Drosophila melanogaster: one gene and its partners. The protein of the gene in region 1 interacts with the protein of each later gene in a pairwise test. Each region holds a gene or a part of one and is shown in the gene's direction. Other genes may lie near its edges.

Evidence for each region.
Region 2: the proteins of CG4822 (region 1) and caps interact in a two-hybrid assay, tested with the Drosophila melanogaster proteins (one large-scale study listed by BioGRID).
Region 3: the proteins of CG4822 (region 1) and CG18336 interact in a two-hybrid assay, tested with the Drosophila melanogaster proteins (one large-scale study listed by BioGRID).

The regions. Positions count from the first base shown.
Region 1 is NT_033779.5:116,243-124,511, reverse strand, and holds CG4822 (uncharacterized protein), read left to right. Parts: upstream 1-2,757; 5' UTR 2,758-4,479; coding exon 4,480-4,684; intron 4,685-4,957; coding exon 4,958-5,081; coding exon of another isoform or gene 5,082-5,085; exon of another isoform or gene 5,086-5,136; coding exon 5,137-5,224; coding exon of another isoform or gene 5,225-5,242; exon of another isoform or gene 5,243-5,276; coding exon 5,277-5,378; intron 5,379-5,435; coding exon 5,436-5,581; intron 5,582-5,637; coding exon 5,638-6,151; intron 6,152-6,207; coding exon 6,208-6,376; intron 6,377-6,435; coding exon 6,436-6,692; intron 6,693-6,752; coding exon 6,753-7,181; 3' UTR 7,182-7,433; downstream 7,434-8,269. Other genes in the region: CG3164 (uncharacterized protein), read left to right, coding at 1-425, 488-656, 718-818, 883-1,383.
Region 2 is NT_037436.4:13,226,241-13,232,297, forward strand, and holds the start of caps (capricious), read left to right. Parts: upstream 1-2,451; 5' UTR 2,452-2,900; intron 2,901-6,057.
Region 3 is NT_033778.4:11,292,936-11,297,251, reverse strand, and holds CG18336 (uncharacterized protein), read left to right. Parts: upstream 1-2,665; 5' UTR 2,666-2,986; coding exon 2,987-3,002; intron 3,003-3,063; coding exon 3,064-3,332; 3' UTR 3,333-3,476; downstream 3,477-4,316. Other genes in the region: CG42336 (uncharacterized protein), read left to right, coding at 2,082-2,570; dare (defective in the avoidance of repellents), read left to right, coding at 4,235-4,316.

The DNA.
Region 1 (8,269 bases):
ACGGAGATCATACGCGCAAACTGGTCGATGCTATTGACAACGGCAAGCGGGACGTTCGTTCATCAGCAGACTATGCCGGCCTCAAGGCTCGCAACGATTTGGTAAAGGTGCAAAACCTGAAGGCTATTCTCGATAAGAACGACGCTTCAAGTGTCAGCGGTCGCAAGTACGAGGACAATTTGACCTTGAACAACGGTTTGCTCAACGGCATGGTCAATGATATTGTGAAGGAGGGCAACGTTAGCTCTGCCTTGGTCACTACCAATGAAAGGGGAGATGCCATGATCGATGTGGAGAAGTCCGTAAACTGCACCACTGCCTTGCTTACGGAGGAGATAACATCACCAGAGCGATATCCAACATCGCAGTTTCACCAGTTCTGGGTGGTTCTTAAGCGAACTTTACTCTTCAGTTACCGGGATTGGGTAAGAAAACTTATAATGGTGCTTTTCAGGATTTTAGTAAACATTGCTTCTCTTTATTATAGACTCTTATGTATCTGCGTTTATTTGCCCATCTGTTAGTTGGATTTTTGATTGGGGCACTCTACTATGACATTGGCAATGATGGAGCAAAAGTTTTGAGCAACCTGGGATTCCTATTCTTTAACATGCTTTTCCTCATGTATACATCTATGACTATTACGATCCTATCATGTAAGGAAACCAGTTTGATATTCCTTTCTCTGTAGTTAATATATTATTTTGTGTGTTCTAGTCCCGCTTGAGATGCCCGTTTTGTTGAAAGAAAACTTTAATCGCTGGTACTCGCTAAAGTCCTACTATTTGGCTATATCAGTTGCTGATTTACCGTTTCAAGTGAGTTGCACTCAGCTGTTGAGTAGAGCGAATGTTACTAATACAAAATAATTGTTTCTTTTAGGCTATTTTCTGCGTTATCTACGTGTCGATCGTGTATTATTTCACTTCACAACCTTGGGAGCTATTCCGCTTTTCCATGTTCTTGTCGGCCTGCCTTCTCATTTCTTTCGTTGCTCAGTCCGTGGGTCTGGTGGTAGGCGCTGCAATGAATGTTCAGAACGGTGTCTTCCTGGCCCCAGTGATGTCCGTGCCCTTCCTTCTGTTCTCCGGCTTCTTTGTCTCCTTTGACGCTATACCAGTATACTTAAGGTGGATCACATATTTGTCGTACATACGATATGGATTCGAGGGCACAGCTCTGGCCACCTACGGTTACGGACGGGAGAAACTTAGGTGCTTCCAGACTTACTGCCATTTTAAATCACCTATTACCACGCTGGAGGAACTGGACATGGTTAACGCTAACTTTACACTCGACATTGTGGCCCTAATTGTGATCTTCGTGGTGCTGCGCATCTCGGCATACCTGTTCTTGCGCTGGAAGCTGAAGACTGTGCGATAAGCATATTACATAATTTTAAATGTTGTTTTGGATTTAATAGCTTTCTATGTACGTACTTTATATTGTAGTTTTCAAAAAAGCGTCTTGGGTTTTGTTCTTAATCATTAATCTTTTACAAATTTCTTTTTGTCTAGTTTTTAGTCGCGAAATTCTTCTTTTAAGTGATACAAACGCAAGGAGGTTTCTTATCTTAAATCAGCTTGATTCCAGCCGCATATGTAGTAAAACCAATTCAAACCACTGTTGGAGCACATCATTGATATAAGTGAATCGTATAATGAAATAAGTTATTGAACGTGAAACCAATTTTCTAAATAAAAATAACTGAATAACATTTCCAATTGTATTTACCGAAGGATTTTTGAATGACTTTAAATTAAAAACGAACATGTTTTGTGTCTATATACATTAATATTTTTATTCAAGGTACTTTAAGACCCTTTGGAATTTTTTGTAATATTTTCTTATTACAGGTTTAGAATAAACATTTTTGAATATATACTGTACAAACTACGTGTTCTTGGGGCAAATAAAGATGTCTACCTAAAAAGTTGAAATTAGACAATTTGAGATTATGATACCCATTATTTTTTGTGATCAACGGCATTATCTACTTAAAAGCTCTTGGAGCGCCATCTGCCGGAAAACGAAATCAAGTCGTGCGAGTCGGCCGTTTAAATTCGAATCGCTTGCAGTGGACGACAACGTTTTTCTGGGGCGTCTATTCAAGCAATCAAGCATTTACTTACATACACATAAACCACCGTCGCAAAAATATCTTATTTTCTTAATTTGAAAAAGGTTTTAGCATTGTAGCATTCACCACATGGGATACGAATGCTGTAAATTTCCAAGTGGGATCCCAGATATGAAAACATAAACATCCCGCTGTTTTGTTCACACTATTGCTAGGAGTTTAAAATTTTGCAAATGACATGCCTTAAATTGTTCGAAATTATGGGGACCCCTTCCTATAAATGTGCCTGCTTTAATTTCATTCAGAAATAGTGTTTGGTATTCAATTTTAAAGGAATGTCACTTATAATATTTCGATCCTTAACAAAATCCTAATTGGAAATCGTACTCAAAATTTTAAGCTACTATAATTAAGGTAAGGACTTGACTGAAGCTAAAGCCTGGTCTCTCTTTCTTTTTTATTTGTGAGTGGTGAGTGAGTGGAATCGGTATAAATAGACTGGCCATATCCTTCGAATCGGATTCAATGGGCTGCAAAACAAGTTTTTGATCTTTTATAGCTGAAGCCAGCCTCTAGACTTCTGAAGGGCAGAAGAATTCGGCCCGGGCACTAGACTTCGCCTCTGTAAATCTAGCATTTGCAGTAGCAGTCACTGCCGCAGTCTTCCTGCACTCGCATTTAGTACATATTCGGTCGTCGGTGCAACAAGACGACGCTTCTTCGCTGCTGTGGCGTGGTTGCCGCCATGAGAAAGAGTGAAAAAAGCCAGCGACAGCAGCAACTACAAAAAGAAAGTGGAGTAAGTGCCCCCTATCGCTCTACCGATACACCCGCTGCAGCGCCAGCGTCAGAGCCAGTGAGTGGTGCATTTACGCAGCTGCAAATAGTAGTGTACGCCGGCTGTATCTAACGCGTTCGTTGAACTCGAAGTCGAAAACAACTGCGACAGTGCTTGCAGCACTGCACACAAGCACGAAAGAAGTTTTTGACTATTATTTACCCCGCTTCTGGGTGACACGAGCAAAGACAATTATTGAATCGATTTCTGGGTCAGCCAAGACAGTTGTTATCAGAGACCTTTGGTTGAAAAGTTTTGTATTATTTAAAAACATAAGGATTTATTTACATACCTAATCTTTTATATACATGTACGTGAAATTAATTCGTTGGACTCTTGATGCATGTATCACAGTTCAATATTCTCGCTTCAGTACATTTTACATGCACCATTACTCACAGCACCGGCCAAAATGATTTGCCGGCGAGTCGCATATTGTATACCCTAGACAAGCAAGAAAAAACGTCTTGCTATGAGCAGCATAATACGGCATTCGCAAGACGCTAAACGAAACTGATTTAAACGGTATCAAAAAGTGGCGCCAATGGTGAGGCCGACTCACAATTAAATTTGTATTCATAGACTGACGCTTTCAACAGATAAAGCGGTTCGGTTGCCAAAACATGAGACCCGCAATCAGTCAAAGTAAAAAGAAGATAAAGAGTGAATAATAACGTAAAGATTGCGCATCCGTACTGTCCGCCCGACCGCCTTAAATCTAGTGCCGATCCAAACTTCCGCTATGGGTTCACCCACTCGCTGATAACGCACGAATTTCTCAGAAAGTTCTGTAGTGTTGAAGCTGCATCGGAATAATTGCAAATCGACTGCCCAGTTTCGGTTTGTATTGCCTTTACTCAGCAGCTCGCCATGCCACTTGCTCTTCCCCCATTCCCTGACTGGGTCGGCATATACCCGGACCGTCAGATCTCCGGGCCGTCGTTGAAGTCAGACGACTAGTCATTCGGTCAGAACTCGAGCAGGCTGTCAGTCGTGCATGTACTGTGTACTGCTTTCCATCAATTGAAAATCTGAGTTTGTTTTCGGGCTGCGCTCAGAGACTACGATCGCGCATTTCGTAGGGTAAATGAAATTAATTTAAAAAGTTCTTCGGTCAGTTCGGAATTTGTTTCCAGAACGAAGGGAGGGCGCTTTCCGTGGTCCCAGATACGCGTAAGTAATTTTTAGAAATGCAAATTACCGCTTTTAATTAACTTGAATTGAGGTAGCAAGCAAACGACACATGAGTTGATGATGAGTTTATCAAACTGGTTTAAGCCAAAAAAACGTACTGCCTTCTCTTGTACTGTTAACCAATTAATTTCTAGTGTATAGTGCAAATAAAACTGCGCCTTAAAACGAGGATTCCAGATTTCGAACGAGCACCTTAAAAGGTTATCTTTAAAAGCAAAGCATTATGTGAACGGTAAACAGATCAATTCTTATAAGCGATTTTAGTGCGAAGTGAAATTATTGAATTTCTTATCAAAAAATCACCATTTTCCTTCTCAAGGAGCAATGACATCGATTCAAAACAACAACGAAGTCTAGAAATATTAAAATGGAAACTGCCAGCAGCGTAAAAGGCAGTACAACCTCCCAAATCAGCTCCCTTCAATATAGCAGCGACATTAACGCCGATAGCCTCGAGCCCGATCAATCTGAGGACTTTCAAACAGTCCTCGGCCTCAAGTATTTGCCATCCTGGCCAGCGGTAAATTTGCAGTTTTCGGAACTATGTTATGTGGTTCCCGACCAGACCAATGGTGAGTGTATCAAATCAGCTTATGTCTATTACGGTTGAGTAATTGATAATGAATATATTCGTGATTGATAATGGGGTATTAAGAATGGTAATTGCACATTTTCGAAGTAATTACTGCTTCCACAGCTCGCTTGATTTCTAATGCTGAACATGCACATATTAAATAGCAATTTCCGTCTAATTCCACATTAACGACAATAAATTAATGCCGACATCTTCCCTTACAATGAAACATTAAAATTATTCTTTTTAATATGGTCATCACACCCCACAGCTTCAAAAACAAAGACGATTTTGCGGAGAGTCAATGGAATGTTTCACTCTCACGAACTTACTGCGATTATAGGGCCTTCAGGCGCTGGTAAAACCACACTGCTAAACCTGCTGGCGGGCTTTGGGTAAGATATAACACAAACGACCCCCTTATAATACTCCTTTAATATTTACCGATAGCGCCGTGTGCGAATCCGGCGAGATTTTGGTAAACAACAGTCCGCGAGATATGCGAGTCTTTCGCAAAATGTCTCGATATATAATGCAGGTAAAAGTGGATTACTGAATTGCGTTCCCATAAATATTGGTGTAATTCATAGACTGATGTCCTGGACTCACAGTTTACCGTACTAGAAATGATGATTTTGGCGGCAAACTTGAAGTTGGGAAAAGAACTAAATTTAAAACAAAAGCTAGAAGTGGTAAGATTGATTTTAAATCATGCACTTTGTCGTGTATTTATCTTAACATTTGAGCAGATTGACGAAATTTTGGGAATGTTGCGCCTAAAAGACACCCTAAACACCATGGCTCAAAAGCTATCTGGGGGTGAGCGAAAGCGTTTATGCATTGCCCTTGAGCTGGTCAACAACCCACCTGTCATCTTTCTAGATGAACCTACAACGTGAGTATAAGATAAATATTGAAGTCGAAGAACTAATGTTACCACCAACTCAACAGTGGTTTAGACGATTTATCGAGTTCACAATGCATTGCCCTACTCAAAGTTTTGGCCGCCGGGGGGCGCACTGTGATCTGCTCCATCCATACGCCATCTGCCAAGATCTTCGAGATGCTCGATGCAGTCTACGTTCTAGCCGAAGGCCAGTGCGTCTACCAAGGAAAGGGGTCCAACATTGTACCTTTCTTGAAGAACTTTGGGCTTTGTTGTCCAATAACCTACAACCCGGCTGACTTCATTATCGAAGTTGCTTGCCTTGAGTATGGCGGGTCCTATCACGAGCCAATGGTAGAAGCCGTGGGCAACGGCAAAGTTGCGCGATGGAGTCCTCCAGCAGTGGAAGGTGAAACAACAACAACCAAAACCGACACCACATCGGGGGCATCGTCGTTTTACGAAAGGGATCAGTTTGACGAAGAGATTAGCCCAAAACTTTTGGAGGCCAAATGTAGCTGGTGGCTACAGTACAAGCTATTGCTTGTGCGTATGCTAATCCAAATGTGGAGAGATAAGGTGAGTGCACTTAGAAAACGACGTAGAAAGGCAATGTAATTTTATTTTTTCCGTAGTCGTACATCAAGCTTAAGTTCTACATGAACATCGTTCTTGCTTTACTGGTGGGTTCGCTCTACTTTGGTATGGGAACCTCGGCCTCTAAAGCGCTTTTTAACTTCGGTTTCATGTTCACCATTGTGATAGCATACCTCTACCTTCCTATGATGCCTGTGCTCTTATATTGTAAGTACTATATTTTAACCTCAAGCAGTAATTCTTAATAATAAATACCTACATTTAAGTTCCCACGGAAATCAATCTGTTAAAAAGGGAGTACAACAACCAGTGGTACCGTCTGAGCTCCTACTACGCAGCAATGGTTACCTCAAAGCTACCATCTATGTTTATTTTGGCCGTTATTTATCTATCCATTGTGTACTTAATGTCCAGCCAACCACTTGAATGGTTCCGCTTTGCCATGCTATTTACAATAGCTTTCGTAACGGCCCTAACTTCCGACAGTTTTGGCTTGTTGATCTCCAGTAGACTGAGCTTAGTGGTAAGCGATTTGGCGCACATTTATTTTTAATATATCCTGATTAGTTCACTTATACTTTAGAATGCAATGTTCATGGGGCCAGTTCTCGCCGTGCCGCTGATCCTGCTTTCCATTTACGGCATTGGGTATGGCGGAGGAACATACATATCCCCTCTTATGAGGTTTCTCATGCATCTTAGCTACCTTCGCCATAGTATGGAAGGCCTAGTCGCATCCTTGTACGACTACGGACGCGCCGACACAATTTGCGAAGACACGGAAATCTTTTGCTCATTTAAAAAGTCGAAAGTTTTGTTAGCCTTTTTAGGATTCGAAAACATGCACTATTTGTGGTCTCTATCTTGCTTGATGAGTTTTTATTTGCTGTTCACCGTAGCAGCATACTTTATGATTAGACTGCGACTGAAACACTCCGAGGTCAGCCCCATTTTTGCATATGTCATACAGCTGTTAACGAAATATTTTAACTTTACTTCGTACAATTACTAACATTAACAACATGGGCGGTTTGACCTCGGTGCTAGAAAAATTATTTTAAGCGGTATTTCAGGGGACAGTCTTAACCTCCCATATTATTTATGGGCTTCAATAATATTAATAAACTATCAAAGTGATATTGGATTCTGAATAAAAGTTTATGATCAAGAATACAAATATAATCAAGGGAACAATAAATTACTATAATTCGATCATATTGTTAACAAGGCAGAAGAAACACTACGAATAAATTATTAAGTACGCATAAAATTGTTTTCACCAAATATGTAAAAAATATTAGTGGGTTTACTTTTTTATGCGATGGCGTAAGTTTATATGTATATCATGGAAATATTAAATATAAACAAGAGAGAATACTATAGTCGAGTTCCCCGAATATCAGATACCCCTTACTCAGCTAGTGTAAATGCGGACGCGAAATTTCATAATTTTTCTGGGTGTGGCTGTTTTGGGCGGTTTTAGGGAGTTGCAAAAAGTTTTTTAGAAAATCGATCTATCGATTTTTACAAGACTAATCAAAAATGAAAAAATTTCAACACATTTTTTAAAATTGTGTAAAATTTTTGAGTGGGCGTGGTAACAAAGGTCAACAAATATCTGTCTCTAGAATCTGTGTGCTGAATCTCAACGTTCTAGCTTTTATAGTTCCTCGACGTTCAAACGGACATGTCTAGATCGACTCGGTTATTGATCCTGATCAAGAATATGTATACTTTATACAGTCGGAAACGTTTCCTTCTGCCTCTTACATACTTTTCAACGAATGTAGCACACCCTTTTACTCTACGAGTCACGGGTATAAAAATATATAGATGTAGATATGCTTCAAATTGCATAAGAGTTAGAATCAAGTCTTGCCCAAGATTAGAATTTAGGATTGAGTTAAAGATCTGCGCCGTTCGTTACCAAACTCTATCTGCCTTTAGACTAATTTTAAGTCAGAACGGCAAAGTATGACTTCGCCTGTTCCCTTGATTCACTTTAAAGTATTCAAATTATTTGGTAGCTCTATCAATTGTGATATGAGCCGTCACAATAAAAACCGACAAAGTTAATTATGGAAATTATTTGAACAACTG
Region 2 (6,057 bases), on another chromosome or scaffold:
GGGTGCATTCCAACAGGTGTTCGAATTAGATGGCATTAACCAACACTGCAAGCGGCTAGCGACCGTAACTGTACTTTGAACTTTAAGCCCTTTTTACCTTGGTAGGTTCGTTGAAAGCATAGGTAGCATATTAAAACAATTTACACCTTTATATAACTGCTAAGTATCAAATACCACCTAAATACAAATACTATGCAAAAATGCCTCGTTTGCAGTTAATTTTTAAGCTAAGTGTAGTGAAGTGGCGTGAATGCGTCATTTTCTAAGCTATTTGCTCGTGTGATCGGTGGAGTGCATCCCCCAAAAATGTGGCACTGCGATGCGGCACAACGCCAGCGTATCAAAAACTCCTTCAAGGACCTTCTCCAGTGCCACTCAAACTGTAATTAAAGCCAACGCTGCTGCTCATCGACTCTTGAAGCCGTTTGCAATCCGTTCGTTCGCTCAACAATGGGAGTTTAATGTGCGGGCCTTGGGGCATTTTCATCGCATAATCATTTTTTTTTTTTGTGCCCGAACAGGGATCATAAATATGTCGCTGGCACTTGAGGCAGCCTCTCGCATTTATGTCGCTGCACACGGGGAGGAAAACACCAACCCCCTGCCACCCCTTTCCACTGCATTTTCGTTGCAGGTTCTTGAGTGTACGTGTACGTTGCCTGCACTCTCAATTATGTCTTAATTCGTATCTAATGGATATTTTCTGTGTGAATTTTCATGATTAATCGCCGCCCGAGGATGCAGGGGGGCAGCAGCAATCACACTGAAACAAAAATTGCACTTGCGACCATGTGAGAGTGCACTCTGTGCTACTACTTATACTAACAAAAGAATTGATTTTATTTGGACTACAGAATTTTTCTTTCATTATAATAAATTTTGAATTTTAAATTTTTAGACGTGGCCAATACTAATTTGCAGAATATATCGGATATTTTTCTCAGTGTACGTAAAAGGGTGGTTTGCCGACTGCAGTTGTTCACACATGTGTTCACAAAAAGAGTGCAAAGATTGTGGGTGGTGGGGGGCGTACAATGAAACTGCGAGCGATAACTCAACTCCACCGAAGGTTCCCAACTTTCTTTCCCCCTCGATTTTCTTTTTTTTTGAAAATTTGCAAGGCGTTGGCATGGGGTGGGATGAAATTTGCAATTGCTGGGGTGTGGCAGTTCGGCATTAACGGCATATGCATCGTATGTAGGTTTTTACGTTTGTGTGCGTAGACGGCGACGTGTTGCAACTTCCGGTGACGTCGACGTAGTCGCAAAAAGTGATTACGCGGCATTTGTGGTAGCAGCAAACCGGCGACGGTTTTTGCAAACATTTCCAAGAATGCAACCGCATTTGCCGACACCCCCCTCCCCCCTTTCACCGTACAAACACCACCCACTTTTTCGTTGGTAAACAAAAAGCATCTGAAATGCAATTCGCACTTCGGCAGCACATTGGCGCCATCTAGCCGCGCTTAGGCGAACTATGAAAGAGAGCCAGATAACGCGTGTGGTTTTCCGAGAGAGAAAATTGGTGGAAACCCAATCGAGTTGGGAATTTTATCTAAGAGCGAGAGAGTGGTGCCGGTTCTCCGTTCAATTTTCCTCTCTGTTTATCTTTGACTGCTCCATTTGCATTCATTTTAGGCGTTATTGGTGTCTCTGCTGCAACCGCTCCCAAAAAATCAGATTTACATGTCGTTGTTGTTGGTTCTTTTTTATTTATTTATTTTACTTAGCATCGCATCTGATAAGAAAGTTACATATGTGTGCTGGGCGAGCAATGAACTTATTGGAGCCTCTATGGGCAGGGCTAATTGGGACCGGTCAATGTGAGCGGTGAAGGCTAATTAGCTGTGGGCGGCGGAAGTACGACATCTTATTGGATAGAAAATGGGGGGAGATAGGACTAATGGAAAATCAAAGATTTTCTTTTGTTTACGGCTTGATAAGAAATTGTATTAGGCTCTGCAATGAATTTATAGCCAAAACTTTCGTGGGTACTTGATAAAGGGTATGAAAATTTCTTTTATTTCTTTATTGAAAACCTGTATATATCGAACAAAATATGATTGAATGTTAATTCAATCTGGATAACAATACTTATACAATATAACTTTAGATCCTTTCAAAACTCAGTCCTTTGAGATGATATTTTAGTTAGCGTGGTTTCAAACCATCCAGTCTCACTTTATCTGACTCAATGAGAATCCAACTTGAGTCTTGCCGGCTCAGATAAGCCCCGTTATCTGAGCGAGAGAGCATCCCATATGATTTTTGCACAAAAAGCCGAAGTATGCGTTCGTGCTGTTGCACACAATCACACTCTCTTCGTATGTGTATGTGTTTGCCTCGTGGTCTTGCTCTCCCGCTCTCGTGTTCTGTTAGCTCACTTCGGCACTTAACAGCGGCTGAGAATCGAGGTTTTGAAGTTCGTGGCGTACACAGATACAATACAGCGTTAGTTCGAAAAAAATCGTGAACGTGTTTGGACACATTGTGGAGCGCACCGTTATTTCCTTATAGCAGACAGCTCAGCAGATTCGCGCGTGCAAATTCTCACCCTTCTCTTCAACCTCCTCTCCCACCCACCACCACCATCGGTCGGTCGCTGTTGTAGCTGTTGTTGTTGTGCGGGCAACTTGCTTTTTGTGGGCGGGGCACGCGGGTCATCGCAAATAGCAAAATCGTCAATCGTCAATCGTCATCGGCGAAACGTGTGTGCAGAATTAATGAAATGCCCGCGCCGCTTCTTCATCAATGAAAACAAAAAGCGAGGAGACTATCCGCCAAATAGTATCTCAAAGATTTGTAGCTGTGCTTTCGGTTAACGTTGTGTTTGGGCTAACATTTTTGTTTTGACAACAGTGCGTGCTAACAAACTAGCCACGAATTGCCAAAATTATCGCGGTAAGTCCTTCGTTTGGTGCCTAATTATTATTCTGTGCTGTGATGTTACTAAGTTTAGTACTGATATTAATTAGTTTAGTTAATACCTTATATTTACTTTTTTGTTTTTGGTGCGCAGCATTTTAAATATATTTTAATATAGTTAGAAGAAAATACTGATATTCAGTATGAAAAAGAAGAAAAATGGTTTTTAGTGATGGAGAGAATATTGCTATACAACTAGACTGAAATAGGGCTAATTTAGTAATATTTTGATTGATAACCATTGAATTTTAATCAATAATCTAAGCAAATTTACGTTACCTCACATATGAATAACTTTAGAGCATACGCTACATAGCTAAAAAATAGCTAGTTTAAGGCGTAAATTGGTTGTTTTACTATAATTTGTTTAAAATAGTGTGTAAACAGGATAAAATGCATAACTAAAGATTGACCTTATCAGATATTACCGTTACACTTAATGAAGAAGCTCTTTAAGGCCAGAAAAACGCCTTGACAGCAGCATGACATTCTCTTTTCTTTTATTGCTGCTGTTGTTTCAATGTTCGATCGATAAGTTTTATGAGTTTTCGTTGTGAAATTTTGAAATCATTAATTATGTCTCGGGCCGCAGACTCGCTCGGAGTTTCCGTCCAGGGCCAGCCGTCTCAATTTTGGGGTTTCTGTCTGGGGAACAGGTTTCGTTAGAGCGAAAAACTTAAAGAACTTTTCGAGGTTTGTGCGATTCCGGGAACTTGTTAGGTGCTGCCTGGACTCGTGTTTGCTTGCCCCTCTTTATGGAGATGTGGATCTTTATGAATGAACGAGGTGGGGCTCAGTTTGGAGGCTCGGGCAGCTGGCCGACTGGGCGGCTGAGCGGTCCGAATGTCTCGTGTTGTGGGCCTTTCTCGTTGACACTTTTGAGGAATGTCAACTTGGCCCCACTGGCCTGGCCAACTGGGAATGGGTTAGACGTGAGCTGGCGTAAGTCTAAGATGCTGGGATGTACTAAAGTTCGAGGAATTCGAAAGGTGTATACAGTTTGGACCGAACTCAAGAAGACTTCAAGGAAATGGCTGTAGAAGAACAAAAATATTTAGCGGCATTAAACCAAATAAGCTTTGTAACCTTATGGGTTTCAGAGTTACTGTGTATTTATAAACAATATTCCGACATTATAAACTATTTCAATGATGATCATCCCCATAGAAACGATTTTGTATTATTTTAATACGAGCTTATCTTTATGTTGCGCCTTCCACTCTGTGCTTCCATCTTCTATTGGTGACCTTCATTATCTCCATCTGAGAACAACCTCGAGGCGAAATCTTAAAGCAAATCCCCACTCATTAAAGCTCCCACTCTCTGTTGTTATCAGGCCCGAAAACGCCAAGGCCGAAGCCGAAAACTTCCAACCTGCATTAGCTAAGCAGACAACTGAGCAGGGGAAGCTATGTACATAGCTGGGTCTGAAACAGAAAACTTTTTAATTACCAACAGGAAAAAACATTTAAGATAAAAGCCAGGTAATATGCGGGGCAGGTGGGACAGGTCACTCCGCCCCCACACCCACTTTTGCATAAATTGAAATTATGGCAACTGTTTTCAGACTTCAGGATGAAGTAGATTCCGAGTCGAAATCGAACCTTTTACTTCTCACTCACTGACCCGAAGGTATTTATGACCTTCGTAAATAGGAAACCGAAGGAATAAGCAGCAGGTTTTAGCCATCAGAGAGCTACAAATTTTACAGCTTAAATATTTTTTAGCCATTAGATAAACAAATAGAAGGGGCAGAGCGATTGAGTCAGAACCAAAGGTGGAAGAGAAAAGAAAAGAACGAAAATATCTTTCAAGTACAATGTTAGGTAAATATAAACAAAACTTTACGTCTTTCGAGCGAGCTCACACTTCTTTTTACAACCTCCAAGACTTTTGGATGCTGCACTTTGGCTGTTGCTGGTGTTTTGGTTCTTCCTTTTTAGCTACTTAAAGCTTTTAGAGCGGCAGCTAGATGTAATATAAATTACATTAGCTAAGTGCCAGGCGGCAATTAAAAACAAAAAATACTCGTGAAGTTTTCCTCCGCCTTTGTTGTTGCTGATAATGTTGTTAATGATGTTGCGGCAGCATCTTCAGCAGCCCCATCCCATCGGCGGCATCATCATCAGTGGCATCATCATTAAGAACATCATTGCCACCATTAGCAGCATCATTAGAACGTCAACTTAATCAAGGTTAAAAAGCATGTGGCGTGCCTGCCCCAAAAAAGTCGAGGAAAACTCAAGAGATGCGGGAGCTGGCATCCCGCTCTATCTTTCTCTTTTTATGTGTGGTATATGGGTATATGTACATATATATATATATATATCTTCGATTCTGTAATTATTGACGCCGACGATGTCTTCCACGTTAGACATAAACATAAACATATTGCGATGACTGAAATTCGGTAAGATTAGAAAAAGTTATGCAAGGATTGGGCAAATTATGTTGGCTAACATGGGGCAATATTTTTCGGGAGCCTTGTGCGATGTGGCAAGTGTGGTGGTAAACATAAATGGTAGGTAATTGAATAGAGAAAAATTGAGAGCGAAAATGTTGATTAATCGAATAATGATTTATAGCAAGGGAATAGAAAGGGAGCTACCTCACAATGACCAGTATAATCTACCACAAAGAAATAAAAAAAAACTTTAAACCCCGATGATTCAATATTATCAGATTTAGCAAATCATACCACTGATATTTTTATAACCCTTGTTCGTTTTTCACTTTTCAATTTAACCACCATTTGCCAATCCCCCATCATCAAGATAGAATCGAGATTCAGCTGCCTTGACATTTATGATGCCAAAGCAAATACTTGAAACTCTAATAACCCCAGAAAATCACCCCAAATTACAAGTACGAAAATAACTTCCCCCGAATGACCACCATTAGGCCTGAAATCAAAACATTTTACAACAGCAATTATGTTATTTTTTGTTTTTTGTGTTTTGCGCGATCAGAGCCAAAGTCAAAGTAATTTCTATTTTAATAACTAGGCAGCGTGGCCAAGCCAAGTCCATTAAAAATAAATATCTCTAGAGATATGTATATATTTTGCAATTAAATCAGCAACAAACTGCAAATGAACCGAATCGAAAATGCGAGAGAACCAGCTCCATTATAT
Region 3 (4,316 bases), on another chromosome or scaffold:
GATGATCCCCTCCCCTGGCCCCCTTCATTTATTAGCTACCACCTTTAGACCCCTCCTTTCCCCAGTGTTATGCATGCAATATCTTTATAGTCGTAGCGAAACCGCGACTAAATGGGTCGAAAGACTTTCACCAAGCGAGCAACTTAGTCAAGTGCTTGCTGGCCGTTTGATATGCACAGCTGTTGGATGTTTGGTTTTTCGTTCTTATCTGTTTTGATTTGAGATACCCTCGATTCGGATTGCCTTTGCGATCTTTTGTCTTACGTGTTCCATCTGGCCAGTCCGTCTCATTCCGGTTTTCTTGCGTACGTAGTCAAAAGTTTGTGGTTCTCAAGAGCGATAATGGCCCTCTGATAAGGAGTCGACCTGCCACCGTTCAATAGACTCTGTCGTACAGTCAAACCTCCGCCGCAAAACGTACCTTTTTGAAATCTTCGAATTTCCAGCATCTCTATTTTGAACATTGCTAGCGTATTTTTGCAGAGATCTTCAAGCAAAACATATTGGTTCCAAAAGTAACTTAATTAAAAAAGCCATTTCTAAATGAGCGTTGTATATGTTTTATAGGTAGAAAGATTAGAAGTGTTATCTTGATATAACATTTATATTAGCTGAAACATTGAATTCCAATTCTAGTGCTTGATATTGCAGAAATTAATAAAAGATCTATAAAATCAGTTCGCGATGTTCGTCTTGAACAATTCAAACTGTAGACGTTTATATGGTGGCCATCTTGTAACATTGTAGCCATCTATCGCTCGCGAATGGGACGGCACTCTTTACTGGGGTTTTGTCTTTATGTACTCGTGTGTCCGGCACTGATTAGTGGCTCTCCCTTATCGCATATGCACACATATGCTCTCCGCAATGCCAACTTCTTGCGATCACCTTTGAAAATATGCTGACGAAGGCAGGAGGCAAAACGAAAAGCGCAGCGAAAAGTTAACTAGTGGGCATATCTGGGAATAATGAAATACAAGCGACTGATTACACACGAGTGGCGGCTTATAATTATATTGATTTTAATATAAGTTTTAGAGAGACTCATTCAGTCCTCCCAAACAGCAGAAGCCGGAGCACGTAAGCACCGGCGATCTAGCGCCAAAATTAGTTAATATTGGAAAGTGTGCGATTTGGGGGGGATTAAATATCGTAGTTTATGTGATTTGTACAATCGTTATTATCTCTGCATGCCGCGTGTCAAACTTGTGTTATAGATAATCAAAATCCATTTTCGAATTCGATTCGTTTGTTTTGCCACGTTGTTTGTTTCTGTGATTTTGTTTGCCCCCCCAATAGCATGCTGAAATGCAGAAAGTAGAACCATAAACCGAATACCATGATTTCCTATATACCATCCATTCAGACGCGAACCGCTAAAAGCCAAAGAGCCCACAGAACCCAGCCCGTAAATTAAAGCCCCAAACAGAGATTAGATCATGGCTGAGGATCCGGTGAACCAGCAGGCATTCGCTGAGGACGTGGCAGCTGCCGCTGCGGCTGGAGGAGCCGGCGGTTTTGCCGGTCCCGAGCCCGGACATCCCGACTTTAAGATGCCCAGTGCCGAGGAGATCTGGAAGCTGGTCGAGGGCATGGAGGGAATTTCGGACGACGAGCGAGCCGAGCTCCGCGAGAGCATCTTTAACCCGAAGCCGCCGTCGCCGGAGGACTTCATGCGCCAGTACGGGCATCCGGGCCACAGTTCCCGGGAGTACCTGGTGTTCTTCGTGATGCTGGCCCTCATACTCATTGTCTTTGGTAAGCGTCCTCCGGAACGAGCCACTAACGAGTCGTATAACCCTTATCGGGCGCGATATACGCACCCACCTGGGTTTCTGCTTAAAGGGCGATAAGGTTTTAGGAGGCGGCTATGTCGAAGCACTCACTCACTCGCTCACGAGCCACAGCTAGAATGTTTGCTTCGTTTAAAAGCGTTCGATTTTTGATAAGATAACCAGTGGTAAGCGTAGGATCCACCGCAGACATAGGTAGAGTGGAATCCAAAGAGCAGTATTTGCCAGAGACCCATGCCGGGCTGTAGTTGACACACCACTTAGCCCCTTTTCCGAACAACCCAAAACATGAGTTGGTCGGGTTCCAGTGACGAGCTCGGGGTTATTGAGCAGCTGAAAAAGTCCGTGGAGTCGATCGTGGCCAAAACTGGGCCCAGCAGCAAGTTCTCCAAGGATCTCGTCCAGCGGATCGGCGAGATGCAGAGCAAGCTGGAGTCCCTGGCCGAAACGGATCGGCATGTGTTTCTCGCCGAGATGAAGGACAAGTTCCAGCAGACGATTGGCAGAATCGAGGAGCGAATAGTGCAGCACGCCCATTTCGCACAGACCTACTCCAGTTCCATAGTGTCGGCAGTGATCTTTCTCTTGGTCTCCATATTCGGTCTCAGTTCCCTTGATCGCATAATGTATCAACGTCACCTTACTAACCGTCTCCCTTCTTTCCGCATTACAGCTCTCTTTGGCTACAAGCTGTACAAATCCCTGACGGAAAAGGAGCTCAAGAAGCAGGAGAAACTGAAGAGCAAGCAACAGAAGAAGGCCAAGAAGTCAAACTGAAGGAGATGGAGGCGAGGATATCATTGACGTAGTGCACTTTCCGGCCCTGAGACCTTCCATCTTGTTAATCAATACAATCGCCCTGTAAATGACTAAATCATAAACCAGTAAACGTAATAAAATAAAACGTACCCCATAACTCTTTTAAATGCCACGGTAATTGTGTTGTTACGACGAGTCGAATTAATTGCCATTAAAATACGGCATCAGGAAATGCAAATCGGTGTCGTGACCTAACTTGTTGCTGCCATCTAGGCAATCCGTCCAATCCTGGCCTCCGTTGTCATGGGAAACGGGGTCGTTTTGTCGAAGCTTCTCCTGTCAGGCCAGCTATTAATAGTTAAATTCAGTTTCCAGTTACCCAGTTAAGCAGCAACACTCGGAAAGGATCAACAATTTTTGCGGAAATAAAAAACATGTCCTATTCCAGCCGTAAGTTAAAAGCTCAACCATGACTTATCTATTAATCTAATGTGTCAACATGCCCTTCTAGGATTTGGTTTCGACTTCCATCTGCCGGATGAGGGATGGTGCTACCCGAAGAACGACATGCATTTCATCCGCAGCGCGGAATGGGTGCCCGTGGAGAAGGCAGGCGTGGGCCGCTCATTCGCCAATCCCAATGGCGTGATCTATCCGCGGGTGGTAGGCATGATTCCACGCTACGGCGGCCACGTTCCGGGCAACAAATTTCGTGTGGGCAACACCTATGGCCGTTCCACCATCGACGCCAAGCGTCATCTGGCCCTCAATCATGATTGAGGACCGAGTTATCGGAACACTCACTCACCATTAGCCAATCAAATTCGCTGTGTTACGCTTACAGAAGCACCCGAAATAAATCGTATCCAGTAGAAGCCTGTAGAAAATGGCAAATAGAAATAAAATCATACAAATTCAAATGTCCAAGAAAAGCACATTTAATTTATGATGGCTTTTTCGAGCAATAAAATTAATTAAACTTTAGGTCACAAGATAAGAATATATTCGTTATGGTACACAAGGTGCCAAAAACACTTTTCTCCTAACAAATATCAAGAAAAGTAACTATAATTATTGATCGCACGCGAAAAATTTTAAAATAAAATCTCAAAAAGTATTTATTTCATTTATTATTTGACTTTTAGTACATTTATTACAACATTTCTGTAAATGCTTCAATATTTTTTTATAATAATAAATACTTCTTGTTAATTTTCAATATTTTTAGAAATGAAAGGAGTGATATGTATATTTAAACGCCTTATGAGAGTATCAAGTATCAAAAAGGCGCGCAATTTAAATTCTTGCTCCGCTGCAACTGTCTGTATAACAATATTAAAACATCCTTACTTTCCTAGCTTTCTATTACTAATGTACTGTCGGTGCTTGGGGTCATATATTTTTAGATTTTTCATAGGAATTTTCATCTCAGAAAAATTAAATTAAACCGAAATCACGTAGTGTTACCATAACGCAATGAGAGCAAATACTCTGTTTTGTTTGGATTCCGTTGGGTATTTTGGGGACTGCTGGCGAAAGTCTTTCGAGAGATAACGAGTAAATAAGAAATCATCGTTAGCAAAAAACTTTTTTGAGAAGATCACCTAGCAAACCGACTGATTATCTGTAAGATACGAAAACGAGCTGCTTTCCCAGTAGCAGAGATCGGCGACTGATCCACGATGGGCATCAATTGCCTTAACATCTTCAGACGTGGCCTCCACACGAGTTCCGCCCGATTGCAGGTGATCCAGAGCACCACGC